Linked DNA regions of Xenopus tropicalis. The protein of the gene in region 1 interacts with the protein of each later gene in a biochemical or structural test. Links are inferred from orthologs where the notes say so. Each region holds a gene or a part of one and is shown on either strand. Other genes may lie near its edges.

Region 1 (10,521 bases):
TTTCATCCACCACCCCAGTGAGCAAGGAACTTCCCAGCACGTGTTGCGGCAAAGCCTCAGCTATTCTGGTGTGCCAAGCAAGAGGGGTTCCCCACCCCCACCTGGATTACCAGACCCTGCTGCCTTCTCCAGAGCACCTTCAGTTTCTCCTCCACCATCCTCTGAGCTGCTCTTTTCTCCAATCCCCACTGAAGCACGAAGCCATGTGTCTTCACTGAGATCAGCCGATTCTTACTCACATTGCTGCTCATGTCGTTGCTCCAGAGCAGGAACAATCACCCAGGATCTCCTGTCTACCCACATGCTCCTGCGCTCACCTTCATGCAGCTCACTGCCAGAGACTGAATGCTACAGCAGTGGGTCAGAATCTCCAGTTTTTGAGCAGTCTTATCATTCACCTCCTCCACCTACTAAGAGGCTACCAATCTTCAACAGGTTGTCGGTGTCAGATTGAAACAGGGAAATACCCTAGCCTAGCAGCAGTTGGGGGGATACAGTTTTCTTGTTAAATCGCACTAACACAATCATGTCCTTAGATAGCAACAAGGTACTCTGAGAGTTATTTCTCCAGCAGACAAGTTGGAGGCTTCAGGGATCTTCCCAGATTACCTTGAGATGTTCTCAGGATAAGAAAAACCAGCCTAGCACCTTCTTGCCAATTCTTCGGCAGAACTGAGTTCTGTCTCTGTAGTCAATGTGTTTTTGCATATGATTGAAGGAAAACTATAGCCAAAACACTAGCTGCTTCTATATGAATAAGTATTTTGCAACATACATTTGTGGAAGTGGCTCTTCACCTCCTACTACAATTTTATTGTAAAACACAGCCAGATATTAGTCTTAGAGATCATAAAGCAAAAGAAAACTGTTCCTGCTCAACATCTTAAAAAGTTCTTAAATAATATTTGCTATATTCTTCAAAGACACCTATATATATATATATATATATATATTTATATATATATATATATATATATATATATATATATATAATCATACTTTTTCACATAGGAGCATCATGTGCCTAAGCTATAGTTTTTCCTTAACTTTTTTTTCCATAATATGCATGAAACCTTTTCAGAGGATACATCCCTGTGTCTCAGAGCTGAAAGATATTTATTATAGTTATTATGAATATTGTTTAAGGGCCTTAGTCTCTCAAATGTGCAAGTGCCCTGAATTATGTAGCAGAACAAGGTACAATGTGCAGGCCTCCAGTTGCACCCTGTGTTTTGGCTGGTTCCAAACATACAGAAGTGTCACTTGGTCTGGACCTGTAGCTGTGCCCTGGAAACTCCACCCAACCCCAGAATTCCTATCCCATTGCAGAGGGAAGTACTATAATGTGTAGCTAGCCTAATTTACCTGAGCTTCTGCCCACAGCTCACAGCTTCATGTGCCTCTCTACATATAATATCCAAGCACTTGCTGTAGATAAACTCTCATCTAAACATAGCATGGACACACACTGATGTGAATAATAGTACAGATGCACTCTGCTCTTTGTGTAATAGAGACATAACCTTCTCTGTGCAAACTAAAGATACGTGGCTCCTTTAACATAGATACTGCTCTACATAAATATAGATATATATCTATATACATAAATATCGATGTACCCTGTCTTTGTATAATGCACATATTGGTCTGTGTAAAAGATATTTCTAGTGTTGTGTGTATAAGAAACTTCAGCACATGCTGCTTTGCTTATAATACAGCACCCAGCCCATCAGACAGACTGTAGACACACACAGATCATATTCAGTGCTTGCTAGTTTTTAAACTCCATTGCATTGGACTATGCTACTGTCTTTGATGATCCATGGTGCAGGGTTAGGCACGCATTGCAGTACTTCCTAGCAGCAAAGGGTCATTCCTAACAATGTGTGTCCTACCTCACAGTTACACTGACAGGTCCTTTCTGGCAATCAAGGAGTTAAAATCAGGCACAAACAAGAAATGTAGGGAGCAGAGAAACTTTATCAGCAAAACCTGATACTAATTCATACCTTGATCTTTAACCTTAAAGTGTGCTTCTTCTAACGTGTATTAATCTATTTATATCATATTTATTTTTAAAAATGAAAAATATATTTATCATTTTTTATTATTTTGTAAATAATATCTATTTGTCAGCATTTGCAATGAGTTTATAATCTGAAATAAAGAGATTTGCATACAAAGGTTATTGTGTTTAGATTAAAATGGGGTCTCTAATGCTCATTTGCTAGCAAGGCCATTTTATTCTAATGCCATAAAGCAGGCTTATGGCACATATGACACTTTCAGATGACCGTAAAATCACCTCAAAGCACCTCCTGACACATCCTACTGAAAACGGAAACAACTGACAGTGAGTTTACTTTAAAGCAGACCTGGCCACCTGAAGGTCTCCAGTATGGAGAATGGCCCTTCAATGTATTTTTACTACCCATTGCCTTCTTGTGGGCTCCAAATACAGGACATCATGCTGTTAATATAATCCAGTCTATATACATAGAGTATATCTGCTTACTGCCTCTCGACTTGGAAAGCGTTGAACAATGTTGCTCTAGTGCAATGCGAAAATGTGCTGCCATAATATTCTTCCAGGGCAGTTCTTTACAACATGTACACCATATTTGCTTTAGGTAAAGCCTATAGCTGAAGGTGAATTTTGGCAATAGTAGTTTTATGCGGATGCAACATTCTTAAAAGTTCTATTACATTTTCCTCTTTGCAAACCATGCAACACACACTATGGAGTTAGTGGGAGAGACTGGGAACCAACAACTCTATGTACTACAGTTCCACCCACTTGCTAGGGTCCTGCAGCAAATACACATACAGTACAAATATATACAAACATATTTTCTGTAAAAATATTGGAAGCATTCTTATTTTATTCCTACACCCCCTGAGATACCTAGTTAAAGGTATCTTTCAAAACACATAAGTTAATTGAGCTTCTCCAGCACAATCCTCCATTGAAATCTGTTTTTCAAAAACGCAAATTTTACAGAGAGTGTCCTGGCCCTTTAGCAGGCCCGGATTTGTGGCAAAGCCACAAAGGCCCTGGCCTAGGGTGGCACAAATTTAGGGACGGAGAAATGGGGACCTCTTCCCACAACTCCGTATGTGAGTTTAAATGACCGCGAATGCGCATGCTCGCGGTGGGGGGCAGGCGGCTACTAATGGGGGTGGCTTTGGGGAGTCCTGATAAGAAATCCAGCACTGCCCTTCAGTAGAATAAATCAAATTAGGGACTTTTTGGGTTTACAGTCTAAAATTTAGTCAGACCTTTCTTTTAGTTTATGTCTCAGATATATGAAAACAAGGCTGCAACTGTTCCTCTGTTTACAGGGAAATCTAATTAACCTAACCGGTCTTCAAGTTGGCTGGGCCCGCTGCTCCAGTGTTTTTTGGGCAACAATAAAGTCATTGACCTAGGTGCGTACGTGATATTGTCACAGATGGAGCTGTATGCCAAACTCTGCCTCTGAGCTCTGCATGTGGAGCCTCCTTACCTCTGGATCAGTTTTAAGCTATCTAATTATTAGGCCATGGCACACACAGCATTTTTATGACCACATATATTCTGTGTGCGCAGTGAAAGGAATGAATGTCAGTGCGCACACAGGGCAGATGGGAACAGGATCAGCCCAGATGTAGAAGACGCCATATATGCCATAGGCCTAGCATTTAACTTACCCCACCATTAGTTTGCTGCCAATCTTTTTAAAAAAGATTCATTAGCGGATGTAGTCCAACACCATCTACAGGGTTTAGGCAACCTTACTCAATTAATTTGATATAAACAATAATATATAGATAGATAGATAGATAGATAGATAGATAGATAGATAGATAGATAGAGGCATGCTTAGGATCTTTTGATTAACAAATATAAAACAGCCTGGAATGGATTATCTCTCTTCCATGATGAGAAAGCTGTGGCCCTGCAGGCAGGCTGGGCGGGAAGCTAGAAGGTACCTTTATGTGTGTCAGCAGTGAGTCAGAGTGAGTCTGACAAAGCAGAAAAACAACCTTATGGCATCACGTGCACCTCTCTCATCTGCTCGACTGGCTTTACAAAAATAAAGTTATTACTCACCGTGACAACGATGTACGTGGCCCCTGTCAGAAAGGGGAATCCTTTATAACACCCCAAGTAAGAAAAGAATGACACATTTGCACACACACAGGAATAAAGCACTATATGCCGCAATACAAGGAAATATTTCTGTTAATAATGTGAGTAAATATTATTGCAAACTGGAAAATGAAATGAATCAGACTATTTGATTCTTCTGTTTCTAATAATATAATATAATTTAAAATGAAGCCAACAAATATTTTCCAAACTTTGTGACTTCTGTTCTTGTAATAAAATAATATCCACAACAGATGACCTAAGGGTGGTGAGAAAATAAGCTTGTGGCCAGCATTAATCAGTGACCAGAATTATACCAGTGCCATTTCTGCCATTTAAGTTAAGAAACTTGCCTTGCCTTGGGAACTCTTTATCAACCGTTGGTAACTTTTAAACCTAAACCAAATATTTGGCTTTTTTAAGGTATAAAGAACTACTGTGAATTTTGCCCCCCATGTGGGCTGATTGGTGCACTGGAAGTGAGCGTGGGGGAAAAGGATTGGATTTGCTGCCTGAGGTGTCACTTGACCTAGATGTACCCCTGGCCAGTGTTAAGGTGGCCATACACGCACCGATATTATCGTACGAAACCTCGTTTCGTACGATAATCGGTGCGTGTATGGCATGTCGGCGAGTCGACCGATATCGCAGGAAGCTGCTGATATCGGACGACTCGCCGATCGGACCAGTTTGAAAATTTTGATCGGGCGCCATAGAAGGCGCCTGACCAAAATTCTCCCTTCAGAGCTGAATCGGCAGAAGGAGGTAGAAATCCTATTGTTTCTACCTCCTTACCTGCCGATTCAGCCCTGAATGGTGTGTGGCGGATCTTACGATGTTTCGTGCGACCGATGGTCGTACGAAACATCGTCAGATCGCCACGTGTATGGCCACCTTTAACCTGTTTTTGTGGATCGCATATAATAGTAATAGCTGTTCTGAAAGGTGATTTACATACGTTTGTAACTGTGGTTCTGTATGTTATACAGCATGTAAATATTGATAAACCATTGCACTAAACAGAACACACAATAATTTATTCGGTTTGGGACAAAAGACTTAAGTACAACAAATCCACCATTGATTCTATTTTTATAAGGTAAGGCAAGCACTTAATGTCCCCTTAAAAGTAGTAAGCTTGATTTTAAGGGCCAGTGTTCGGAATAAATCCACAGATGCCAACTTGGTCTGTGTGTATACAGCTCCACAGGAAGCACGCCATATTGAATACTGATGGAACACATAGGCTAGGCATTGTATACTTAAAACATGCACTTGAGAATTCAGGCTACAATCACTTGAAATGCACCAATGTTGGCACATACTGTAAGGTAAGTGATCTAGAAAATCTGGCCACCACTGACAAACATGGCTGGCAAAACCCCTAAAAACTGTACCCTGGGAGACAACCTTAAGGTAGGAAGGTAGGATAAAAACACAATTCTATACAATGTAACATAATGTGGCATGGTAGGGAGTTAGTCATATACAATAAATATATGAAATGCCCATAATTTTATGTCCATCATTCAATGAGAAATGAAATACAACATTAAATTAGTTAAAGACTTAATTATACAAGCCAGTAGCTAGAGCCTATCAAATAAAAAAGGTTGGAGTGTGCCCCTTGTTCAACACCCTGAATAATCAGTGGCAGAATTTTGCACTGATTCATAGCTGGTCATTGTAGTGAATGGTTTGAACTCCCTGACTTATGCCACTTTAAATGTTAAGGTGCCCATACACCTTCAGATCCGCTCACTTGGCAATCGAATTATAACGACGGGTATAGGCAAAGTCGATCCGACTAGATTTTTTTAACCTGCCCGATCAATATCTGGCCGATTTCAGGCCAGATATCAGTCGGGCAGGCCCGTCGGTAGTGCCCATACACGGGCTGATTTGCTGCCGAATCGGTCTAAGGGACCGATATCGGCAGCTAGAATTGGCCTGTATATGGGGACCTTTACTGCCCACTGTAGAGATGGGATGGGGGTCAGGAGGAAAGAGAGCATAGGTGCCTGAGAGTACAAGCTGTGTCAAGTAACACCAGTGTACAGTACTTCTTATTTTTGCTTACTAGAATGAGGGTGACAAAAAATGACAAGAACCAAAAAATCTATCTAAAGAAACAGGCATGGCAAAACTGGCATTTATATGTTATGTATATGTTCTGTTATTATTTAATTAAAGCAGGGTTTATGACTTTAAATACTGTGCAGATGTGTGGATGGCTCAGTGGTGTGACTGGTGTTTGCACACTATGCAGCAGTGTGGAAGTATATGGCATAGTTCATAGATAAGATACAGAGAAGCACAGCAAAGTGCAGGGGCAAGCAGTGACAGGTACGTACTGTAAATGTCTGTCTCTCCATTTAGTACATAGAATCTGGCTTTTATTTGGCTCCATAGCCCAGAATTGCCTGGCATACTTTCAGCAGGGATTTGTAGTTTATCCGTTTGAAGATAGCTTTTTAATTTTATTAATGCAATGTTTTGTTTGCTTCTTTTAAGGAGAAAACTATGGAAGTGGGATTTATAAAGAACATTTATGAGTAAGGTTTCCTTACCCAGCTTTGGAGAGAGTGGGTTGGAATTTGAAGTGTTTTGTATGTGACACGCATGCTCCTACATGTCTGAGTACACAGCCTGAGGCTAGTGGGCAGGAAATGATCATTTAAATGAATTCTTCTCATAGTTCTCTGTTCCTCCCTTAGTTCATTACAAGATTTGTTCTGAAGTAGAAAGAATAGCCTTATTAACATGTATAAAGCAAAAATGTATTTCAGTACAAAAGTTTATTCTATTGGTTTGACATTATTCCCTCTCAAGCTACACTAAGCCTGATTTCAGCAATTACTAATAATTATCCTCATAACCAGAAAATACCACAGCAGAAATATGAATATGATTTATTACAGTGCTAGAGATGAAGAGCAGGGTTGCTGTTGTCTGGCACTATCTTGATGAACTTTCATGCAGATCTGGATTTTCCATAGAGCTTCAGGTGAGGTGTGTACTTGTTCACCCTCTCTTTAACTGATTATATTTAGAAAGCATATATTAAATGTTTCCAATATTTCCCAATAGCTTTTCTAACTGCAACAGCATCTTTTTCAGTTAACATTAGGGCTAATTTTATTTAGCTTTGTGTATATTATCCCACATTGCTATACTGTGCTCTTTGCAGACCAGAGTAATGTTGCTGGTGATACAAGGGGAAATTGCAGGCTAACACCACATTATGCCTTATCACCATTTCACTATATTTCTCCCCATAGAATTATGTATGACTTGTTCGTTTGTGCAGTCATTTGTGATTCTTGGATTGGAAATTCCCATTCTCCTCTATGAACCCCTATGTGGTCTGGTACAGGAACCCTGCTCGTTACTGGTTTCCAGCACTTACTGGGTTTTTTTGGCCCTGTCAAAAGAGATCAGTTCCTTTCTATCTTCCTCATTGCAAAATGATCTTGTATTAACTTAAATATTCTTATGCCACATAATTTCACATGACTTTATGTTGTATTTATCAGGAGTAAACAAGCCCCATTTAAACATCAGTTTGTATATTGCACCCATATACTGAAATGGTTCATTATCTGGGTCCCAGCTGGCAGCCCACTATATTCCTCTCCTCTCAGCAGATGCTGGCTTTGCTTTCTCTCTTGTTACCATTCTGTGCTTAAGAAGGCTTAGTTTACATTTTACCTAAGCTTATTGTGTACACAGAAAATTGCTTCTTTGTATTGAGAGTAGGAGTTTTCATGATTTACTTAAGGCATTCCCAGCAGACAACAGGACAATGTAATTTATTATGACCACAAAATATTCTGTTTGGATGAGATCTAAAGAAATGGTTCTGCTGAGGAAGACAGTATGGTAGCTTAAATACAGGAACACACAAAATAGTCTGCATATAGATAATACACCCCTAAAACTAAGGGGCAGATTTATCAAAATGTGAGTTTAGAGCTTAATACATAAAAACTCACTCACATTCTATTCATTCCTATGGGATTTAATAATGCCAACATATTCCACAGCACTATACTATAAATGGGTGTATACACTGAGCATACAAGTATGCATAAAAAAAAAAAAACAATAAGTGATACAATGTGGTTTTAGCAGTGGAATTTATTATTTTAGTGCTGCCACTTTCTGAGGTATATTAACATTAAGCCCCATGTAGCCAGCTGAGTCATTTTCTATTTTCCAGTTGGCTGCTACTTACTTTAAATTTGCTGTTACTTTGAACCAATTAAACTTATTGATTTTAGGGTTTATGTTAGCAAATTGTTTACTTTTAACAGAACAAGATTCAGCAATGTACACATTATTGCCTGAGGGACCCCAAATCAGCAAAAATTATGTGCGGATGTGGACGTCTATGTCTGTTGAGATCCATAAAAAAAAAGTTTTTTTTAAAAATCACTTGAAACTTCACTGTTTATTCATTCCTTTAAGATCCATAGTTTCAAGTGTCCTAATCCATTTTGTTTCTTTTAACAGAAACATTTGTTGCCATTCCCCATATATTTGGCTTTAATACTGTTTCTAACAGATTGCAATTGAATTGAGATACATTGTGCTTAGCTAGTGAAAACCACAGATGTGTCAGTGCTTTTATTTGGAATAAAATTCCTTCTTTAACTGGTCTAGTTGTTTGCACTACATGCAGCAGTCCACAAAGGAATTCCAAGCAGTATGCCACATGCAGTCAAGTCTCACTTCAGTTCCCTTACTAAGGTATGCAATGTTGAGGCTAGCTATAATTGCACTGCAACATCTGTAATTTAGAGAAACATAATGATCTGTCTTTTTAGGGCACCCAAATTTTTCTGTAGGCCTGTTGTATAAGTGTCTGCAAAATGCATTTTATCCTTTACCATGAGACCCCTTGGGTTGGTACACTTTGATAAATCTGCCCTTATTAGAGAGGCCTTGTTCAATCAGTATTTGTCAGCAGATGTGATGCATCGAGTACCAAGGGGTGGTAATAGTCAGAATAGGTTTATATAGACTTCTGTGATGCTGCATAGTGATTTCCTTGTTACACATTTCTGCACACCTGTTATATGATATACAACAGCTATTTTGGTGCACTTTTTAAATGCTTTTTAATACTGTATGCAGTACATACTACTATCAGGGTGGACTGGGAAAAATCTTGTGGGCCATGCCAACCCAGGCCTGCTCCCCACTAGGAACTTTGGGCACTCCCCCCCCCCCCCCCAGTTGTGAGCACATGTAAAAGGAATGCAACACAGCATGTGCTCGGGGGTGGTATAGGCTGGCGGCAGGTGAGGAGTTTGTGACTGGGGTCAGGTGGCAGTACCAGTGGGCCCCAGACACACCAATCTGACACTGCTTCTTATGCTACATATCAGCAAGCATCTTGCAAGTATCAATAGAGAAAGGGAAGGTCAATGGTTTTATGATGCTAGCTTTAATATAATCTCAAGTTCCTGCTAAAGTTTTAAGGTGTTGAGGGCACAGAGCATTTTCCACAGAGAAAATGACAGCAATAAAAACTTTGTGTCCAGAGTACAAACAACAGATTCAAGTTGAAAAGGTATACTAATGCACACAAACACACACTATAACTTATGATTTTTCATGAGAATTGTGCTTAGCACTAACTTATGATATCTCTTTGTACAGTCTTTATCTGACTCTGTTAAGGCTTTAACAAAAGCCAGGTTGTTGTTCTGGGCACAGAAAGCACCATTTACAACCCTGCCTGTCTAGCCATGTCCGAATGATGTCATAAAATGCCCCCTCCTCGCTTCTTAGAATGTTGTTATAAGCACAATAATGATGCTGATAAGGGGGTTGAAACCAGCATGCAGTCAGGCAGTGGCTGTTTAAACAAAGCATGGTAGTTCAGTTGGTTAGCACTGCTGCCTTGTACTGCTGGGTCCTCAGTTAGATGTCATCTATGGAACTATTATTAAGCAGTTTGTATGTTCTTCCCCCCATGTCTGCATGGGTTTTCTCCAAGTACTCCAGTTTTCTTCCACACTCCAAAACATGCAGGCAAGTTAATTAAAGGAGAATGAAAGGTAAAACTCAGTAAGCTTTAACAGAAAGGTCTATGTAAAAACAGCCATAAGCATTCACAGAAATGCTGCACTGAGTCCTCTATCAAAAGAAACAGGATTTGTTAACACCCCCTTAGGAATTTGTGATCTGAGCCAATCAGCAGGAAGCTTTCTCATAGTCTTACTAACTGAGCATGTACACTGGTCTTGGTCTTGGTGCAGGAACAAGTCATTATCGGAATTTTCTTTACAGAGTTCAGCGTTTTTTTTTTTTCCTATGAGGCTTCTGATCATCTGAACGGGAGAAATATGTGGAGACTTAAGGGCACTATTGAGAGAACT
Region 2 (11,337 bases), on another chromosome or scaffold:
GGATTTGGCTGAATCCATATTCAAATTTGAGAGAAATTAAAAATTGTATAAGTAGTCAGATGTGCAGAGCTTTAAAGTCAGGATTTGAAATCATTAGAATCCTGCAAAAAGAGCTGGGGTTTGGCCAGATCCTGGATTCGGTGCATTCTAACTTTTACCAGTTTTGGGGATTGAAGACAGTGGCTAAAATATTTTGTTTTGGGGGTCATGTTTCAAAAAAAAAAACAAAAAAAATAACAAATAAAACAAAAGCTCAGTAGGGTTAGGCAAGAAATGTTGTTTTGCAGGCTTTTGTACCAACATAAGGCCACCACAATGAAATCTTTGCCTCCATAAATGCCCTTAGTAGCTCCCCTCATATTCAATGCTGATCCATTGAAAGCTGCTCTGGGCTGCTTTCAATTACCTGGGCATAGGGGGCAAACACAAAATATACTGTATATACATAATATAGATTTCAGTAATAAGGATTCCCATTACATGGCATTACAGTGCATTCTGTATCAGAATTATCAGTAGGGTACCATCTGCCAAGCACTACACTGATGGGCACCAATTAAGAGTAAAATAGGTCTGTTAATGGGATTTGCCCAGGAACCACCCTGGCTATGTTTATATCCCAGCAAGTAGACGTTGGGCCCCTGACACATGTGCATCGTTATCCAGTGGTGGGCAAAATGCTACCACCCCCACTACATGCAGTCACTTCAAATACTGGAGCACTGAAAGCAAAACGTTTAACACACATGGCAAAATGGCAGGTGGAACTCTGTGACAGCAGAGTGGTTTAAGGGCAAGTTAGCCTACTACTGCAGATTGTCGGTGCTATAATCTAATAGTATTTGACAGGCAGATAAGACAGTTTCGTCCACAAATGTTTGCCACCTGAAGGCAGGTGTGGGCAAAATACCCCCTATTCCTTAGCCTATGGAGAGATGACCTTGTATGTATGTATATCTTTATTTATCCTTCTAGGTTCTCATGTCTCCAAGATGCTTCCTTTAGAAAACAATAGCTGTTGCACAATTTTCCCTGGCCATGACAGGGAACTTCCCATTATTTTCATCAGTTACCTCATTAGGGCACAGTTACATGTGGCGTATGGTCTACTTTGGAAGAGGAATACGATCCTATATGTAGCTCCACTGACAGGCCCGAGTGCAGCTACAAGGAGTGGAGATCAACCCGAAAAAACACCTTGAAAAACAGCCTGAAAAGCTTGCATTTTTGGACCAATCATCTCTGCTCCTTGTAACTGCACTCAGGCGGAGATCCAGACTGTATACCATGTACGCCTGCACCCTTAGGGCAAACATGGCGGCCCCATCTAAACAATTGCTTCCATGCCAGAGACCCAAGCACTGACCGAAACCGGCACTGGAAACATAAGTATTTGTGAGAAAGTGGTTTGGGCGAATAAAAAGCCAGACCAAATGATAACATTGTTTATTTATTTCGCTCTTGAATTCTTACATGTTCCTGATTATTCCGTGTAGAGTGAAACTAGAGCTGTTCAAAATACATTACACAAATTGGAGTACATCAATAACCAGGGGGTTTTTTTTTTTTTGCGTTTTTAAAAATTTATTTTGTTTCTTTGTTGCTAGACTAAATTTCACAACCACGTGTGTGCTAGGTAATAAAACCAACACAGAAGCAAACTTTAGGCAGAATACTGGTCAGTAAAAACAAAGCGAAAAGAGCTACCAGATATACAGACAGGCTCAGTTCCACATTCACTACTGCATTTATCAAGCGCTAGTATTAAATGCACATTTTTTGGGGGGAGTTTTTTTTTGTTTATTTTATTTTTTTTGTTCGGCTAAAGAGAATTGAAAATCAGTGCATGAAAATTTTTGCTTCCAAGCGGACAGATGGACAGACACCTAGAAAAATTTTACAGCCAAGTGGAATGTATTGAGAGGAATGATACTGTGATACTGGGACAGTGATTACAAATCAAATACAGTACTTCACTGGAATACATGTCCTTAAAGTCACCGGAGGAAAGGGGAAAGGTAAACCGATTTACTGATATCACCAATATTAATCCTTAACTAAAAATTAAAAAAAAAAAAGTATTTTAAAATTTGGAAGGATCTTGGGTGCGGCAAGGGACAGCTGAACTAGGTGATGCAATGGTTAAGTTAAAAAATAAGGGTAAGTAAAGGCAAGCAGAACAATGTGTGATCACTTAAAAATGTAAACTGTTAAAATACTGTGCCCAAAAAAAAAAAAAAAAAGAAAAGAAAAGAAAAGGAAGATAAAGTAGAAAATAAAGAGGAGGCTAATTTCTAAGATATTACACGACAAATGATATTATGGGAAGACCATACAAATCTTTATATATTTTGCAAAGAAACCAGTAATGTCATCTGTATACATACCAGCAATGATAATTACCAATATAATATTGTACACTGTATATTGTATGTAATCTGTTTGAGCCCCTGATGTGCGTAATAAAAAATTTTTTCTTTTTTTTTTTCCACCTTTTTTTTTCTGAGTTACAGTGGCTAAGTGAGCATTACATCGATTTTCAAAAATTGTGACTAAATATATATATATAATATATTTATATATATATAAAATAAAAAAACCCAAAACGACTTGATTATATTCAGGCTTACAAACTAGGTTCAATATGTACCATGTCGATCAAAACATATCTATCACTGAAACAACTGCAATACACTATGGTACGAACCCATTCCATCCCGAGGGTCACAGTATGGTCACAAACGCTCTGTCAAACAGTTAAAACAGAATTGTACGTCGACTTTGTTGTTACTGCCGAGGCAATGAAAGGTTCTAATGTGGTTATAGTGATTGCCAATTGGAAATTATAACAAAACTCCGTAACCGTAAATCACAGTGTTCAGTTAAAAAAAAAAGGGGGGGGGGAGGGAGGGGAGAAAAAAAAAAAGGGACACAATTACATATTTAAATCATTTATATTTATATAAAAAGAAATAGAATGCCATATTTTTAGACTGAGAATGTATTACTCCTACACTGAGTAAAGACGCCAGTCTTGTTTCCTAATCCACATATTGTTCTGCTACTGAGGTTGTTTAAGTCGATGTACTATTCTTTTAACTTGTTGCACAAAAAGGGATATATGTGTATACAAAACAGAGTGACTGAACAGAAAAAAAGGAAAAAATATGGGTGGCCGTTGTTAGTTGTCCGCCTCTGCATTATCAGCCTCTTCGCCTTGGTTTTCTGAGGTCCATAGCTGCAAAGAAACAGGAAAAGCATGAGTGTAAGAGCAAATCATATGAAAAGTCTGAGAACAAAAATAAAAATACTGCAAGTGAGCTCTGTATGTACAGTGTGTGGTTCCTGTATTATCTTTTCTGGCAGCCTGCCTCCTGCTGGTCAGAAGTAAAAACCAGCGTTAGAGTGTAGGACACACAAAGAGTAGGAATGTACTAGCTAAAGACAAACTACAGCAGTGATCCCCAACCGGTGGCTCGGGAGCAACACGTTGCTCACCACCCCCTTTGATGTTGCTCCCAGTGGCCTCAAAGTAGGTGCCATTTTTACATCTCTGGCTTGGAGGCAAGTTTTCGAAGCTCAGAGACAAAAATACTCCAAGCAGAACCTCCTGCAAGCCAGCAGCCCACATGAAGCTCCCAAATAGCCATAGCCCTTATATAGCATCCCCAAAGAACATTTTCATGTTTGTGTGGCCAACCAACACTTTTTATATCTGAGTGTGGCTCAGTAGCTTAGTATTAAAAAAAAAAAAAAAAAAATAGTTGATTATCTCTGATCTACAGCAATAGACAAATAATATACATACAGGCCAATAGGCTGCTGACTTGGCTGAAGTGAGGTGCCATACCTTCTGTGCATATCACAAGTGGCTCAGTTGGCCTAACATGGTTAACCTGCTGTTGGTGGCTGCATGGTTTGTCCACCAGAAGAGTTTTGACAGGTCATCCTGTCTTCCTATTGGTTTCCAGTCTGTCTGTCCAAACTTATGAAATCTACCAGTGTCATTTTCCAGTGAGTGAATGGGACTGATGAAAGAGGACCTACAGCCAATTGCCCCAATGCAGTGATATTTAGACATTTTAGTACATGACCAAATTTCCCAAAATACCCCAGACAACTGAAAGGAAAGGCCTTAGGATTTTGGTTTGCTATAACCTGTGAAGGAACTACAGTCTTATCAAGAAAGGATTCTTGTACATATCTTATTTTGCCAACTAACTCAATTAATCTGAACTGGTCAACTAAGTTTGCACTTAACCAGATATTTACATTTGGTCTATACAGCAGCACAGAATGATCACATTAGCGTGTATATAGTCAATGAGGAAAGTATTACATGGTATGTAGTTGCCCTCTGAAGCAGTGATGCAGTTCAAGACACTGCTTTCAGACACAGGGCAGTCTGATGCAGTATACTTGCTTTTTTAAAAAGATGAAGGTGAAGATGACATTAGTTAAAAAGAAAACTTACTGTAAGATTGTCCCTTAGTAGCTGCATGATAAGAGTGCTGTCTTTGTAGGACTCCTCATTCAGCGTGTCCAGTTCAGCTATTGCCTCATCAAATGCCTGCAATGAAACAAACCCATCTTTCAACTTGTACACAGATGGCAAAGACACTTTCTTTACTGCCGATTCTACGGCCAACTTAAATCAATTAGACTGCAATCGCACTCAAAGTCCCACACAAAATAGACAACATACAAAAATACAGAATTTAAAAAAAAAAAAAAACTTACCGATTTTGCTAGACTGCATGCTTTCTCAGGAGAGTTCAGAATTTCATAGTAGAAGACAGAGAAGTTTAGAGCCAGTCCGAGTCGAATAGGATGTGTTGGTTGCATCTCACTTTTACTAATTTCAAATGCTTCCTGGTAGGCTTGTTGAGAGCAGGTTACAGTTTCTAATGGGAAACAAATATAAAATGGTCAGCTCATTAATACTGTACATTTTAATATATTGTAGCAATTTGATCCCTAAAGCAATTCTGACACGACAAAATCATATTTCTAATTGCAGACAAATAATTACCCAATATCCTGAGGTTTAAACTTTGTTGTATTATCAAGGCAATAGAGGCCAAAGACTTCAATACCCACAAAATCATCCCTATTTGATTTTGATGATTGATTTTTATTTCAAGATGGCCACAAACTGCTGCCCAATTTCAATTTATCATTATTCATCACTTTTATGTTTATATAGTTTAGTTATCTGCTTCTTGCCTGAGCTAAACTCACCTAAATTTCTCTTTTTCAAGCCAAGAAAGACACATTTTGCACTTTTCACCAAGTACATGCTGCCGTTTAAAAGCACCAGTGATTTATTTGGTTTGCAATGACTCGAACGGGATATGCATGGAAGCAAAGATCTTAGCTTGTTTTGAACTGAGCAGCATTCATGCCAGCACTTCTGCCTTTATTCCATTTAAATCAATAGGAACTGGTGATAAAAAAAAACCCACTAGTATTCTTGGGCTAGCTAAAACATACCAGTTGAAAAACGAAATGACCCAAGGCTCATAGTTTACTTAATTTTAGCATGATGTAGACAGTGATGGAGCGACACAGTGATTAAAATTAGTTGTAATTAATTGTAGCTTATGAATTAAGTTTTTTGTTCTGAAACTTCGCAATTTTTTATTTCAGCAGTTAACTGGTTGCAAGGTTCCCACTTACCTTAGCAACCAGTCAATAGTATTAAAGGAACAGTAACACCAAAAAATGAAAGTGTATAAAAGTAACAAGTTTACCAGTGCAGGGCAACAGTGCATTATATACTTTAAAGCTCTTTCATTTTTTGGTGTTACTGTTACTTTAATGACAAAATGGCCTAAATTAAAAGACAAATAAAAATAAACAGCATTAATGAAATTGCAGATATTCTTCTCATTGGTTATACAGACCTTGCTTACTGTCTCCAGAAGCTACTTCTGAAAGGTATCGGTAATAATCCCCTTTCATTTTTAAGTAGAAGACCTTGCTTTCTGGTGGGGTTGCATTCGGTACAAGGTACTTATCCAGAAGACCCTACAAGAACACATACGGAAGAGCCCATTGTAAGCATGTATGTACATATGTGTATATTTCTGCTTTTAAGAAAATAGAATAAAATCTAAATATAAAATGTAACTGTATTTTAACACCCATGTATATTTTGCATGTTTTATAAGGTTTGGTTGCACCCATGGCAACTGGAGGTACCTGAACATTTTCTCAGCTAGGCAGGCTGTCTATAGTACATAACCCTATAAATGCCAGTAAGCCTGCAGGGGGACAAGAAGATTACTGCAGACAATCAGTACATTCAGTGCGAAAGGGGATTTTCACCTTTTGCTAAAGAGGCTTTTATAGTTTGCTATTTGTATTGTATGTGCAATATGGGGTAGCATTTGTAGGCTATATACCAATGAAATTGTAACTGTTTTCATGTTTACATGGGGCATCACAAGGTAATATGGGGAGTGTATGGGGAATGGCGAATTTCTGTTTCTGGATAGGACTCAAGACAATCAGATCTATGTCATGCAAATAAACCAGAAGGGACACACGTATTTTATTCATTAAGCTCATCAATTGTTCTTATAATTCACAATAAAAAGTATACATAGAAGTATCTACAGAAGCCGTCAGTACAATAGCACCGTGGTACATCTGACCAAGGGCAACCAAAACCTATAGTTGCTCATTAAACCTTTGCACCCAGGACTATAGGAGAACAATATGCAAGTAACATATATGCTTTAGCAGCCCTATAAGAAGCTTTAGCTGCTTTGCCTTATACCCTGCAAAGAAAAAAGCCTATTAGAATTTATTACCAGAACATCCTTGCAGATATCTTGCAACTCTGTCTCCACTTTCTCACGGTACTCTCGTGCCATCTGCTGCCGCTTATCATTTCCTTCTGTCTTCTGCTCAATGCTAGAGATCACACGCCAGGAGGAGCGTCGGGCGCCAACAACGTTTTTGTAGGCGACAGATAGCAGGTTTCTTTCCTCGTTGGACAACTCGGCACCCAGCTCGGTCACAGCCTTCATGGAAGCTGCCATGTCGTCATAACGCTCGGCCTGCTCAGACAGTTTAGCCTTCTGTACCAGTTCGCTCTTGTCCATGGTGAGATCTATTGAGAAGGTACAAATAAAAATTGTTACTCAACATCCAACTAGACTTGAAGCTTACAGAAAATCCCTTTGAGAGAAACATAATATAATCAATAACAAATGCAGTGCAATGCAGGCCTACTCTAGACCTAGGATTTGATTATTCAGAACACCGCAACAGCCATTTAATTCTGCAGCAAGCAGCTTCAATCACACTAGGTAATCATCTTTAGTATAACGCAGCGTAGTCGCTTTCAGTTAGTCTGAACTGTATCCCTATGGAAACACAAAGGAATCACTTCTCTATTTCCAGGAAACTAACTAGATTAAATTTAACTGTGGGGGTTTTCCTAAAAAAACTGGATACACATTTTTCCTTCACCAGAAATTGGTCAGACCCAGTCAGAGAGGGGTTTGTAGTGATTATGAGACCTTTATGCGTGTGGGTACAGGTATAGGACCTGTTATCCAGAATGCTCGACACCAAGGGTATTCCGGAAAAGGGGTCTTTCCGTAATCTGGATCTCCATACCTTAAGTCTACTAAAAAATCAATAAAACATTAATTAAACCCAATAGGATTGTTTTGCATCCAATAAGGATTATTTATATCTTAGTTGGGATCAAGTACAGGTACCGTTTTATTATTACAGAGAAAAGGGAATCATATAACCATTAAATAAACCCAATAGGGCTGTTCTGCCCCCAATAAGGGGTAATTATATCTTAGTTGGGATCAAGTACAGGTACTGTTTTATTATTAAAGAGAAAAAGGGAATTATTTTTAAAAATTAGAATTATTTGCTTATAATGGAGTCTATGGGAGATGGCCGTTCCGTAATTCGGAGCTTTCTGGATAATGGGTTTCCGGATAAGGGATCCCATACCTGTACTATGCATATGGAGGAACTGGTCATGCACCCCCTTTCATGACCCAATTAGAGGGAATAAAGAAGAACAAATCATGCTTTGCTTTGGAAGTGAGAGAAAATCCATGTTTATTCCAAAAGCATGCATTTTGACCAATCATAAGTTGATGCTCCAACATTTTTTGGTGGACAAAGTCAAGTAATGTCTAAGAAATACACTCCAATGCTCTTTGAGAATTAAAGAAAGACCTAGGGCAGACACAACATGCTGATTGAGGCCAGTGGGTATTGGTCAAGCATTCATATTAAATTCAATTTGTTTGCTTGGCTAATGGCCAGCCACTTGCCATTCTGGGTCTGCCAATACATCCATGGGGCAGGGCTTGTGGCATAGGTGACATTTTGACTGCTGCTGCCAGCATTTAGAAAACAGTGGCAATCCAAAGACCTGTTTCTGCCTTCCCATCATTAAATGGGCTTTAACTAGTGTGTTTCTTATAGCTCTCTATGGGAAGCAGTTTCTAGGCGGAGAGGGGTATTTTAACCTCCACTGCCCCATGAGCCATAGCCCTTACATCTTAATAAATGCTTGATTAGTGATGCCTAACTTTCTCCATGGAGCAGGTTATTTGATGGACAATACATTTGCAGGCTAGATTGTATCAAAATTAGGCTGGGGTCATAAAATGTAAGCTGTATTTGGTCTGTGGGTTTCCAGCAGCAAATCCCTGCCTTAGAACATCACTTAGGCTTGTATCATGAATTCATAAGAAGAGGTTAGAAAAAAAGCAGCTTCCTTGGGCTTCAGTGGTATTTCAGGTATGGGACCTGTTATCCAGAATGTTCGTGACCTGAGGTTTTCTGAATAAGGGGTCTTTACACAATTTGAACCTCCATACCTTAAGTCTACTAGAAAATCATTTAAACATGAAATAAACTCAATAGGATTGTTCTGCCTCCAATAAGGGGTAATTATATCTTAGTTGGGATCAAATACAGGTACTGTTTTATTATTACAGAGAAAAGGGAATCATTTAACCATTAAATAAACCCAATAGGACTGTTCTGCCCCAATAAGGGGTAATTATATCTTAGTTGGGATCAAGTACAGGTACTGTTTTATTATTACAGAGAAAAGGGAATCATTTAACCATTAAATAAACCCAATAGGACTGTTCTGCCCCCAATAAGGGGTAATTATATCTTAGTTGGGATCAAGTACAGGTACTGTTTTATTATTACAGAGAAAAGGGAATCATTTAACCATTAAATAAACCCAATAGGACTGTTCTGCCCCAATAAGGGGTAATTATTTCTTAGTTGGGATCAAGTACAGGTACTGTTTTATTATTAGGGCTCTGGCACAAGGGGAGATTAGTCGCCCGCGACAAAACTCCCTGGTCGCGGGCGACTAATCTCCCCGAGTTGCCTTCCCACCGGCAAAAATGTAAGTCGCCGGCGGGATGGCACACGCGGTGGAACGATTTCGCGCAAATCGCCGAAAAAGCCTTACGAGTCTTTTTCGGCGATTTCGGGAAATCGCGCCGCCGCGTGTGCCAACCCTTACAGAGAAAAGGGAATCATTTAACCATTAATTAAACCCAATAGGGCAGGTCTACCCCAATAAGGGGTAATTATATCTTAGTTGGGATCAAGTACAGGTACTGTTTTATTATTACAGAGAAAAGGGAATCATTTAACCATTAAATAAACCCAATAGGGCTGTTCTGCCCCAATAAGGGGTAATTATATCTTAGTTGGGATCAAGTACAGGTACTGTTTTATTATTACAGAGAAAAGGGAAATCATTTATAAAAATTAGAATTATTTGCTTATAATGGAGTCTATGGGAGATGGCCTTTCCGTAATTGGGAACTTACTGATAATGGGTTTCCAGATAAAGGATCCTATACCTGTACTTTATTTTATTATTACACAAAAAAAGGAAATCATTTTTAAAAATGTAAATTATTTGGTTAACACAGAGTCTATGGGAGATGGCATTCCTGTACTTCAGAGCTTTCTGGATAATGGGTTTCCAGATACTGGATGCCCCCTGCATCCACTTCTTTGGATCCCCACTAGTGGTCCAGTCCCACATTTAAGAACTTGCAGGACTAAAGGGCATGTGAAAATGTGTTTATCCAACTAATCTGCCCGCAGGCCAAACCGGCAAATATTGTGAGTTTGCAGTAACTGCCATAAAAGTGATTGGGAAGTGGGGCGTCCTGATGGGTCTTCCATTGCTCCCCGAATCAGGTAAAGATTAGCTTGTTTGGAAATCTTGCCAAATTAAAATTATGTTTAATAAACTATTTGAAAAAGAAAAGGTCAAGTATTTTAACAAATGCTGTATTTTAGTTCAAAAGGTTCTAAATGAAGGGTATATGAAAATCAACTTTAAAGGGCCATGGCTATACTGAATGCATATTAGTTATGGTGTGTTCATGAGAAAAAGGCCCCTACACTGACAACTTTGTAGAAAATCAGATAAGCAGAGGCATTCTTGTGTCACACACATGCAGCACACTGCCACCCACTGGCCTGCCTCGGAACTGGAGGCTCGGATCAAAGGTAATTAGCAATATTGGCTGTGAAAGGATTTTCTACAATGTCATGTATGCAATTAACAGCCGAGCTTCTTGGTGCAAGGAGGCTATAGACAACCCGGCACAAAGGATCCGTACAAACAAGCTAAGCACATTTTCTAATGAGAAGGGTATGCAGAGCAAATATGCAACCACAGTGCTAATCCTGAGTAAAAGAAAAAAGCAATTAAAACGTTAGAAGAATTTAAAAAAAAAAATGTTTTGTTGGCATAAACTCTGCTGGTACATAGAATGCAATGCAGCACTCCAGAACCAAACTGCTTAATCATGGCAAGGCACACTGGGCAGAACGTTTATATTCTCACTCTAAACGTGCCATTATTAATTATTCATATAGCCAAGCATGCCTTTGTTTGATAGACTTTTGAGATAGACTTCTGATTTTTTAAGAGCTGTACACATGAAATATGGATGGGAGTCATAGCAGGATTAAAGGCAGCTTGTCAGGGATCAATACTGACCATCAGCTGAATAAGGAGCCAAGAAATGTATTGATTAAGCGCGGCTTAGGGGCTACATGGGAGATCAGGAAATGTGTGTATAGATTGGCAGACCTTTTCCTATATGGCTGTATATCATCTCACTATATGGGCATATACTCATATCTCTAGATGGATAAATTGGAACAGGTATAGGATCCCTTTAACCCAAAACCCGTTATCCAAAAACCTACGAATTACAGGAAGAGCATCTCCCATAGAGCACATTATAAGTAAATAATTCAAATGTATTTTACCGAGATCCCTTTCTTCTGTATTAA
Region 3 (11,337 bases), on another chromosome or scaffold:
CTTCATAGATCTGCTACTTTCAACTGCATTGAAGTAATAGCAGTTGTTTTCTTTGGGTTTAAGCCAAGGCCCCAAAGCAATTTGGATAATAAAATCCTATACTTGTATAGTAATGGTGTGCATCTGTTTACCATCCAATGAGGACAATCTTGCATGGTGGACTCAAAAAGAGTTTGGAAAGGCTACTGGAGGTTGGGCAGATTGATGGAGTGCCAGTCTATAAGAGTGTAACTGGGCATGGTTAGGGCACAACATGATTTTGGTCTAGTTTGTCCTAGTTTGTCAGTCAGAACCTACAGTGGTCCTTGTATTGTTGGATTTAGTGTCTCTATTTCATCTGTGCACTGATTACTGCTATGTTACAACAGAAACATGCTGGGGGCATCCTAGGTAAGTTTAACACTGCCTTGGGCTGCACAGTGCAAATGTCCTTACTGGCTTTTAATATAAGTAGAGCAGTGACTTTTTTTGGATGTGACAGATCTTCTTATAAACAAATTGAGAGATAATTTGGGTCATCATTTTACCATGTTGTCCAGGAAGTAGGAAACAAACTATTGCACTAGGGGGAGTATTGGGCAAGCATCCATCTCTGTCACACACTTTTTTTTGTTCTGTGCTGGTTACATTAACAATTTTTATGCAAACTGATGTTCCAGACAGCAGGCAAGACAAATTAACTGTTCATGTTTTTAGGTGTTTTTTGAATATCTGTGAACTCTGACAAATCTGTTGCAAAAAATCAGGTGCAAAGAGCAGCATTAGGGGCGCACCCCTGCTCAGTTATTACCCCTGCCTTAGAGCACTTTGAACACTGGGTGTGGTGTCACAGTTGAGCCTTCATTTGCTTAAAGGACATGTAAACCCCACACACACTAATGTATTCAGTCAACAGCCTCTTTAAAATCTTTCAATACCTGCCACACTGGTTGTCCAGAGGTTAACAGTAATTCTGCAGCATCCCCTTAATTTCTTAGATTTCCTTCTCCTCCTGTAACCCACTCGCCCCCCCCCCCCTTGAGAATTTGCTTTGATTTCTAGGCTTCCCAGACATGCTCAGATTACTAAACACACCTCCCAGTCTAGCAGGCAGTAAAGAGACAGTTCTGCCCGTGTGAGCCTGTATTCTTGATCTTTGAGTCTTTGTGTGTATGCTGTTTGCAGATTTAAATGTATCTGATTATGTATCAGAGGAAAAATGGCCACCGGGTGAAAGCTACTTTTTGCTTTAGGAAAATGTGATGGTGCTAGCAGACGGAGGGGATATATGCAGTACAAATAATGCCATTTGGGTGGGCGAGACATGCCCAACTGATATACATTGTACGCAAATGTAGGCTTTACATATCCTTTAAAGGAGAAGGAAAGTTAAAAATCACTGGGGGTGCCAAATGTTGAGCATCCCCCAGTGATGGTAATTGCTTTTACCCAGCGCTGGTGCTCCTGTTGTGAGAAAACCGCACCATCCCACGGTAGCTTTGAGCCATAAAAGAACATGCAGAATGCCAATAGTTGTCGTGTAGTGTTATTCGCTAAGTGTAAAGTGGAGGTTGAGGTGTTGATGCCTCATACCTTTCAGTTTAGGGAGGTAATTGATCAACCATACTGCAAAACGTGAGTCTGGCACATAAATGATCTCATGCAGAATAAAGTGAAATATATTAGTTGATAAAGCTCACTAGGGTAGCTTTACCTGTTTTGTGCCAGTAGGCATTTAATCATAGGCTTAATCAACAAAGAATAAGCACACAATTTAAAAGAAACATTAACTAATCACATTGCAGATTACACATGGCCCATAGCAGAGGGAGTGTATATGCATGGAGGTTGGGGAATTCATTCTCTGTGGTATACTAAAAATAAGATTTCAACTTCCATGCTAAGGACTCTGGCACACGGGGAGATTAGTGACATTAGTGATTTGTCGTGGGCGACTAATCTCCCCGAGCTACCATCCCACCGGCGAACATGTAAGTCGCCAGTGGGATGGTACACGCTGCACAGGCGATTTTGGCAAATCGCCGAAGTTGCCTCGCGAGGCATTTTCGGCGATTTGCCAAAATCGCATGCGCAGCGTGTGCCATCCCACCGGCGACTTACATGTTCGCCGGTGGGATGGCAACTGATGGCTCTCTGATGGCAACTGATGGCTCTATGATGGCAACTCGGGGAGATTAGTCGCCCGCGAACAGGGAGGTTTGTCGCGGGCGACTAATCTCCCCGTGTGCCAGAGCCCTCTAACTCTTCTTAAAAAAACAAAAATCATGTTTAATAAAAGTTATCAGTGGTTTGATATAATGGCATATGCCATCATGTCATAATGATTTATGCTAAAAACTAAAATCATCTAAAGATATAGGTATGATATCCAGAAAGCACCATCTTACAGGAAGGCTATTTAGTCTATTTTTTGCAAATATTAAATGTATTTCATTTTTTTGTATATATTATAAAACAGTACATTGTACAAAACCTTAAAGGGGACATATTGTGTGAAAAACAATATTGTGCCAATGAATTGTACTCCTCTAAAAATAAAAGGAATGTGCTGTAGTAGTGTTTTGAGCTGATGTATTAAAAAATTCTCCAAAAAACCCCACTAGTCAGCAGAAATATACAGAATAATTGAGGAAGAGTGCCCAGTATCACAGTTAGAGACATATTGCTGTAGAACTGATGCCAGTCAGGGAAAGCCCAGGTGGCTGCTAAAAAGGCTGTCTCTACATGTCACATGGTTAGATAAGTTCATTATGGGATAAGAAGTCTTACAGGGGAGTGGTGTTGAGTGGAAGGGACCTAGAAAAAACCTCTTGATACATAGTTAGAGTTACATTGATAGTGACACTAAGCCTGACTTAAGGCAGCTCTGCAGGGAGCTGCCTTACACACATAAAATCAGCCTTACACACATTTGTTAAAATCGTACAAAATTGCCTTAAGACCAGTACTAGAAGAAATTTTCACTTTTGTGTTTAAGACATTATTTTAGAACAGAAAATAACCTTGTAGCAGAAGCTGCCTAACTGATATATAGTAATACTTAATCCTGAAGTCAAGGTTTAGCTTTTGTTGATGTGACAGTTTCTGTAACTTCAATATCTGATTCTGGTAGAAATGTTCCTGACTGGGAATCTAAAAATAACTGAAGGACATAGGCTCAAGGCTCACGCTGCCCTCTTTAACCTTTTTAAAGTCTGGGCCTTCAAGGGAAAACTGTAGACAAACTGGATGTCGCAGTAGATGGATTATTAGGCCATTAGACTCTCATAAGGCATGGGGGAGGGATGCATACTACACTCAGGACTTTTGGGGGGTTTTCATTTCTAAGTTCTAATATGACTTTAGCAGACTGGGTCAAATGATTAATCGGATATATGTCAACAAAGTTTGAATCTGTCTTTGGTTGCAGACTGGGTGGGTTTGTGCTTGGGTATTGGGATAAGTAGGAATTTTTTTTATAGAAATAAATATTGGGGCAAAGCTGACAAACTTCACCTTTTCTGGCTGGGTCCTTGCTGTGTCAAAACAGGATGTCTTTCCCCAATTGTATACTTAAAATAATTTAAAAAAAAATAAATATTTTCACTATATCGTTAAAACTGCTTTGGTGTGAGGTGTGCCTAAGCTGTAGGTGTACAGTAAAGTTAAATAATAAAGTTCCTTTCCCAGGTCAACTCTTGTTCTTGTGTCTTCTCTCTGAGTTTGTGTGTTACACCTCCCATGTAGTTTTTAACCCATTTTATTCTATTTTTATTTTTTTATATTTTTACATTGTAGTAATGTAATTCTAAAGGTTGAGGTTATAGCTTTTCGGTGAAGTTACAATAACATTCTGAGTTTCTTTAGAATCTATGGTTGTAATCCAGCTTCTGGGAGAATCGGGCCTAACAAAGAAGCTTCCCATAGTTAATTCGGCACTTGGTAGCATTTTCCATACTGATCAGGTTTCCAAGAATTATGTGGATATATTTGTAGTGTCGTTAACCAGGCTCTAATTATCTGTCCCTTTATGTATTTCCATTATGGGATTTTTAGAGATTTCCATTTGGTAGCTATAGCTATTCTTGCTGCAGCTAGAATCTGATTGATCAGTTTCTGTGTTGGTCTCTGTGTTGGTCTTCTAAAGGAAGAGTAACACCAAAAAATGAGAGAGCTTTAAAGTAATAAAAATATAATGCACTGTTGCCCTGCACTGGTAAAACTGGTGTATTTGCTACAGTAACACTACTATAATTTATATAATAAGCTGCTGTGTAGCCATGGGGGCAGCCATTCAAGCTGGAAAAAAGGAGAAAAGGCACAGGTTACATAGCAAATAACAGTTCTGTAGAATACAATAGTGTTTTATCTGTTATCTGATATGTGCCTGTGCCTTTTCTCCTTTGAATGGCTGCCTCCATGGCTACATAGCAGCTTATTTATATAAATTATAGTAGACTTTCTGAAGTAAACACATAACTTTTACCAGTGCAGGGCAGCAGCACATTATATTTTAGTTACTTTTATACACTTTCATTTTTTGGTGTTACTGTTCCTTTAAGAAGTGGTTTACCAAGGAAAAGTATTAGACATCCTTCTGTACTGAGTATAGTATATGTATATTTAAGTAGAAATGGCATCCTAAAAAGTTTGAATAAGGGGCAGGTCCAGAAAATATCAAACGTCATCCCTTTCTGGGCACCCTGTCATGCATACTGAGGAAAAGCATATGCAGCCTCTTGGTGTATAGTACCAATGCATGAAAATCTTGTATATGTTTTTCTTTTGTTTCTTGCAGACTACAGTATTCTCTTTGCATTTTCCCAGTTGCTAGTCCACAGTGTTTGGGTTTTAAATCATGTATTTTGATGGTAGTGCTCGAGCGTTAGCAGACAGTAGCCTGATGTTAAACCTGACATCCCAGACAGGCTTCATTTCATTAGAGTCAGCCAATATAATGAATGTTAATCTAATCTCCATAGCTATACCATACTAAAGAGCTGATGTTTTTTGATAGCTATTGATTGTGTGACATAGAATCTTATTCTGAGTTTGCTACAATATTGTTGACATTTATAGCTGATTTGATATCTATCAGGAGCTGTAAGAACTTATTTGAAAATTTTATTAACTTTTTTTTTTTAGTTGTATGCATTTTTTTATTTGTAGAATTTTTAGTTTGTTATATTTTATTAGTGATGCTGGCTTTACCTGATTTTAATTAAGTTTTATTAAATTAAAGGTAACACTCTAATAATATCTATGCCTCCACCATTGCTAATCCTAGTGAGATCTCTGTTGAAGGAGTGTGAAAATTAAAGCCCTCACCCCCATTCAGTAAACAAGGTCTAGACCAATTTTATTCTATTCTATTTTATTCTATTCTAACATGTAATCTAGTGACTTCTATATTGTAGCCTGCTACTTATCCCTTTTGAAAGTTATACTGTCCTTGTGCCATGCATAAAAAGCTTCTTAAACTGAATGACATGGGAACACAGTCTTGATGTAATTTGTAGCATGTCAAAAGTTACCATACATTAAAGATACCTTGTTAAAAATATTTTCAAGTATACAGAGTGTGTATTCCCCAGTCTTGAGCACCGTTTAATAAGATAATATTTAGTGCTTGTTTAATATGCATTCTTGATTTATAAACACATGCTCTGCTTAGAGAGCTTGTCATTTTGTAAAATTTAAAAGGGCACAGTATCTGTAAAGCAAGAATATTCTACATGCCACCCTCACTAGTTGACTAACATTTATATAGCAAGAATATGTAAACTATAGCAGAAAACTGTCAAGAGATGCAGGCGGATGTAGTTTATCAACTACTGAGGCTCAGTGGCTCATAGTAATAATTTTATGTGTAGGAATGACACAGAGGGTTATATAATAAAAGGCACTAAGTTTGCCCAGGAGCAGTAACCCATAGCAACCAATCAGCAGGTAGAATTTATTGGTCAGCTGTTTAAAAGCAAACATATTATTGGTTGCTATGGGTTACTGCTACTGGCCAAACTTAGTGCCTTTTATTACATATGGGGCAAGCTGGTAAAGATTGATTTGATTCATTTGTCTGGTGGAGAGGGCGCCCAAAGTCCTGGACTGCAAATATAGTATTAATGTAGAGTTCTGGCAGCAGTATGAGTTTATGTACAGGTGCTGCTTAGTTTTCGTTTGCTCGAGTCCTACGTTCCCCCTTAGACGTGTGTGTTACATCAGCACAGGAGGGCTGCATTCCTTCCGCATCAGCTCATGAAGCTGCAGAGATGTTTGAGCTGCCTCAGTGATTTCACACTGCCAGGATCTCCTTGTTTGAACAAAGCTGCTGCATTAAGTCATATAGAGAGTTGTGTGTGCAAATCACTTGTCCTAAATGGACACTTTTTACAAGATAATGCATTAAGATACTTTATAAACAGAGTGAAGTGTTTCTGTTAAAATATATCTTGCTGCTTCAATTTTTTTTGTAGCTACATAGAAACCAGAGTCTCCGTAAATATTTCTTTAGTACAGACAGTAATGGTTTCTTACCTTGTCCCCACCAGGGCTGCAGGGCAAATCTGTCTGTCTCTATCTATCTACTTATATTTACTCACACGCATATACATTTATATTTTTTTTGTGGTGAAAATGGATGGCAGCAGGTGGAGAGTCTTTTCCTTTAATGCTGGTATGTCAGACATGTGACCTGATTCCCCTTCATTTGTTGCTATCCAGCATTTTGGATTGACTACAGTCTGAGGCAGGGTATTTTCCTACCACTATCTGTGTCCCCTGTTAAAGAAGCAGGCACTGATCAAGTTATTTTGACAGAGTTCAGCAGCTGCAAATTTTGGTCCCATAGTGCTTATTGGTTGTAAAGAAAACAGCCCCTTTTTCAAGCTGCCTGCTGGAACTGAGTTTGCCCATGAACCATGAAAAAAACATGAACATTAAACACAAGATTTGCTTTTGTATTAAGTCAGAACTTCATCCTCTCATGCATATGCCTTATACTGTATGCCTTATATGCACTTTCGAGTAATATGTACAGGTATTCACTATTTATTAATTTGGCTTATATATGTTCATGCTCCTTTCTGTTTTCTCTCAATGTGTGCAGATGTTACAGGACTGTGCAAAGGCACGCAGGGAGGTAGAACTGCACTGGCGGGCTTCCCAGTGTTCTCATATCGTGAAGATTATTGATGTGTACGAAAATCTATACCAGTCTAGAAAGTGTCTTCTTATTATTATGGAATGGTAAGTTGTTTTTTTTTTTTTTTTTTACAGGAATTTGCCTGTAAGCAAAATGATCTGCATGCAACAACCTTAATCAGTGCAATAAATGATATGCATTTTAAATGTTACAAAGCAACATATAGGTTCTTTAGCAAGAAAGAGTGCTTTGTGAGGTGCTGCAGGTTAGTACTGGGGTTCGATTAATCCCAAATGCATTCTGTATACAAATATAATCTCAATATACAGAATGATGATCTCTCGGGGAACATATGTAATTGTTAACATATACACCACAATATACATTGGTGAAAAATAAAGACATATATTTCTAGTGAAGAATGAGAACAAAATCAAGCTTATTCAGAAGGGTATAATGATATTAAAAACTCAATTTAAACAAGCATTTTTTCTCTCAACTATTTAATACACATGTAACGACTAGTAATGTGTAATGTTACTTACAGAATGAATTATGTAAAAAACATGGGCAAACTATTTAACGGTGTAAATTACTAGCGTATGCTGAGCTACACAATTTATATCTAGCTCTAATTAGCTATATTTTAATGACAAAATATATGGTTGTTAAAGAAAGAAAGATTCTCTAGCACAGAATTAATTCTGTCAACAAAATGAACACATATTTTTACTGTTTCATTTCCACTATCAATTCTGTGAAACAATTCGGTCAGTCAAATTACTTAGCCAATAAGGAGCAAACACGCTCATTAAAAAATAAAAAGCTATCTTTAGTTACAGTCCATTTACTATTTTCTTTTGAATTGTTTCTTAATTGGAAGATTGGATGAAAAATCTTAATGCTGCACTGACAAAATTATTCAGTTGTACAAAAAAGTTTTGTTGATGTGAATTAATGTTAAATGGGGACCTGTCACTCAGACCTAAAAAGCTGCATTATAGAGGTCCTTTTTAAACTGAACATAAAACCCAATTTTTTTTTTTTTAATTAAAACATCAATACCTGTTTTAAGGGTACAGGTATGGAATTTATTATCCAGAATGCTCGGGACCTGGGGTTTTCTCATAATTTGGATCTTTTCATAATTTGGATCTCCACACCTTATGTCTACTAAAAAAATATATATATATTTTTTTAAAAATCTTTATTTTTGCATTTTAACAATAGGGGGGACAGGTACAGAAAGAAGAGGGGGGAGGGAAAAAATATGTAACATTAATAAAACCCAGTGGGATTGTTTTGCCTCCAATAAGGATTAATTATATCTTCAGAATTAAGTGAAAGTGCGGTTTTATTATTACAGAGAAAAAGGAAATCATTTAAAAAATGTTTTTTTAATTATTTGCTTATAATGGAGTCTGTGGGTGATGGCCTTCCTGTAATTTGGAGCTTTTTGGATATTGTGTTTCCGAATGATGGATCCCATACCTGTATTTAAAAATTCTTATCAGTCAATCTTACTGCCTGCTCCACCTGTATGCCTAAAGCTGGCCATACACGCACCGATACTATCGTACGAAACGTTGTTTCGTACGATATTCGGTGCGTGTATGGCATGTCGGCGAGTCGACCGATATCGCAGGAAGCTGCTGATATGAGACGACTCGCTGATCGGCCAGGTTAGAAAATTTTGATCGGGCGCCATAGAAGGCGCCTGACCAAAATCTGCCGTCAGGACTGAATCGGCAGAAGGAGGTAGAAATCCTATTGTTTCAGCCCTGACTGTGTGTGGCGGATCTGACGCGAAACATTGTTAGATCGCCACGTGTATGGCCAGCTTAAGGCATAGAGGCGTTGCAGGCAATTGCTTTCACCTTACATTCTGCACTTTCTAGATGTGATTACTCTCCTCTCCTCTCAACGTCTAAATTGTATAGTCTGTGCATGAGCATCAGGTTCCCAATTCTGGCACATAAATAAGGTTTTGGAATGATGCAAAGCTTGCCATAATAACAGTATCCACAAAATAGAGCCTACTTGTTGTGATAGTGAATTCTACTAAGGAAAAAAAGATTTAAATAGTTTTATATAGTGTAAGTAAAGTTTATTTTGCTTGACAAACACACAATAGAATAATTTGGAACTATTTCTTAGGGTGACTGGTCCCTTTAAAAGTAAAGCATGCAAACTATATACTGTATACTATATACTTGAGGTGATCTAGCTATTCCCATTATCTGTAAGGGAAATGACAGGCATAGTGAGTTCATCAATACAATAGGCTTAATATCGCCTCATTAACATCTGACATACTCTCAAGCAAGATTTTTTTAGTATTCTATTAAAATCACAATCTCTGCAGGCCTAGGCCAGTTCGTTTGCATAGTACAGTAAAAAGCTGGCTTTATGCTTCTAAAGTTTATCTCTTTACTGTACTGTGCATGTACCCTGGGCTGTTGCAGTTTTTAAGCCAACAGGAGCACCGGCCAGGGATCTTAGGTAAGCAATCCTGAGGGATGACTAAAATGTTGGCCCTCCCAGTTCTTATAGCTTAACTTCTCCTTTCAAAACATAATTACTCATGGGTGAGGGGCTGCAACTTCATATTGCTGTGTAAAGAGGTTAATCAGCCGGTATACTTAAAAGAAGTAGCATATGTTATATGGGTAGGTACTGTACCCACGTGTATTTATAAATATCTTACATATACTATGTTACATTGCTACTATATGGAGGGACCTCTCACCCGTGGGTAGTTAAGCTTCTAATATTAGGCTGATTTTAATATGATACAATCAATAACTTCTGTTTTGTTGACTTGAGAGTTTGTCAGATAAAATTAAGAGGATATTGGGCCTATTGTAATAATGGTTTAGGTTAGAAGATAATGGGAACAACAACAAGTTAGCATATTAATGGTTTTCAGTTAAGAATCTGTTGTATTTAACAGCAGCCCTTTCAGAAAATGTTTGTTCGTATTTATTGTTATGCAGCACAGAGGCCACCCTGTATAGGCCAGATAGTATCATATCTTCTCCATAGCCACATGGAGGAGAGCTGGCAGCTTTTCATCTTGTTAAATATGTCCTACAGTCTAATCATTTTCATGTGTATGTTTGTCAAGACTTTACAGAACCTGTAAAAAAAAAAATCAGTAAATGGACCCCCATTACAACCTGCTTGCTATTGAGTAATAAGTATGCTTTTTTCTGTCAGTCAGTAATTTGACTGACAGAAGACACAGAACTGATATTGACATAGTTTTGTGGAACTGTATGTTTATTTTGTTGAATGAAGTCTGTAGCAATTATCGTTTTTTTTCATTAACATTGCATTTTAATATTACTTATTTTGTTACATGGATGGATTTCTCACATTTCTGAGACAGAATGGAATATTTAATATAATATTCTTGTGTGTGCAAACTTAATTTTGTTCTCATACTTTTGCAAGAAATATGTCTTTTGTATATATATTGTTTTGCCTGTGCTTATGGCCACAATTACACATGTACCCTGAGAGAGCTTAATTCTGTGTACTGGGAATATGTTGGTATACAGATTTTTGTAGACAAAATGTATTTGGGACAAACGACACCCCCATAGGTTGGGGAGGTTGCACAAAGGAATGGGGCTACAAACTGTGCAGGCAGTCATTGGGGAGATGTTATGAGGCAAGAATATGGAAAGTTAAAAGCAGTTTCACTTCTTGTTTTTAATGTCTGTTTTAAATAAAAATGTCCACCCATGTTTCTTGATGTATATAGGAGTTTTTCCAGTAATGATTCATTGTGCATTAGCCTAGAGCTTTGAGCAGTGGAAATCTAATTTGTCTATTATGGGGCCTGCTAAAGGCTACTTTATTTAATTCATCCTTTATTATCAGAAAATCAGTATTATAATCTCTGACAAATATCTGCCTTACTTGTTTTAGTCTGGATGGAGGAGAACTCTTCAGCAGAATCCAGGATAGAGGGGACCAAGCTTTCACGGAGAGGGGTAGGTGGACTTTGATAGAAAGTGTGTGTTATTGCTTTCATCTCTCATTCAGTTGTAGTGCTCTCTGCAATTGCCTTTACATTCACAGTAAATTGCTACATTTTAAAGGGACAGAAATACCCTTTGTTTAAAATGAGTTCAACTAATAGGGTTTGCAGTAAACATAGATTTTGCCTGTTTTAATCACCAAAAGGCTGTGGGCTCGGACACAGC

Evidence for each region.
Region 2: the proteins of zfp36 (region 1) and ywhab form a complex in vitro, tested with the Homo sapiens proteins (2 studies listed by BioGRID). The link is inferred for Xenopus tropicalis from reciprocal best matches to the Homo sapiens genes ZFP36 and YWHAB.
Region 3: of the proteins of zfp36 (region 1) and mapkapk2, one has a biochemical effect on the other in vitro, tested with the Homo sapiens proteins (2 studies listed by BioGRID). The link is inferred for Xenopus tropicalis from reciprocal best matches to the Homo sapiens genes ZFP36 and MAPKAPK2.

The regions. Positions count from the first base shown.
Region 1 is NC_030684.2:81,498,865-81,509,385, forward strand, and holds the end of zfp36 (tristetraprolin), read left to right. Parts: coding exon 1-454; 3' UTR 455-2,184; downstream 2,185-10,521. UniProt on the Homo sapiens protein: Zinc-finger RNA-binding protein that destabilizes several cytoplasmic AU-rich element (ARE)-containing mRNA transcripts by promoting their poly(A) tail removal or deadenylation, and hence provide a mechanism for attenuating protein synthesis.
Region 2 is NC_030686.2:12,515,214-12,526,550, reverse strand, and holds the end of ywhab (14-3-3 protein beta/alpha), read right to left. Parts: intron 7,121-11,337; 5' UTR 7,113-7,120; coding exon 6,819-7,112; intron 6,031-6,818; coding exon 5,907-6,030; intron 4,905-5,906; coding exon 4,741-4,904; intron 4,571-4,740; coding exon 4,475-4,570; intron 3,239-4,474; coding exon 3,182-3,238; 3' UTR 2,478-3,181; downstream 1-2,477. UniProt on the Homo sapiens protein: Adapter protein implicated in the regulation of a large spectrum of both general and specialized signaling pathways. Binds to a large number of partners, usually by recognition of a phosphoserine or phosphothreonine motif.
Region 3 is NC_030678.2:74,162,597-74,173,933, forward strand, and holds part of mapkapk2 (MAP kinase-activated protein kinase 2), read left to right. Parts: intron 1-7,087; coding exon 7,088-7,227; intron 7,228-11,059; coding exon 11,060-11,124; intron 11,125-11,337. UniProt on the Homo sapiens protein: Stress-activated serine/threonine-protein kinase involved in cytokine production, endocytosis, reorganization of the cytoskeleton, cell migration, cell cycle control, chromatin remodeling, DNA damage response and transcriptional regulation.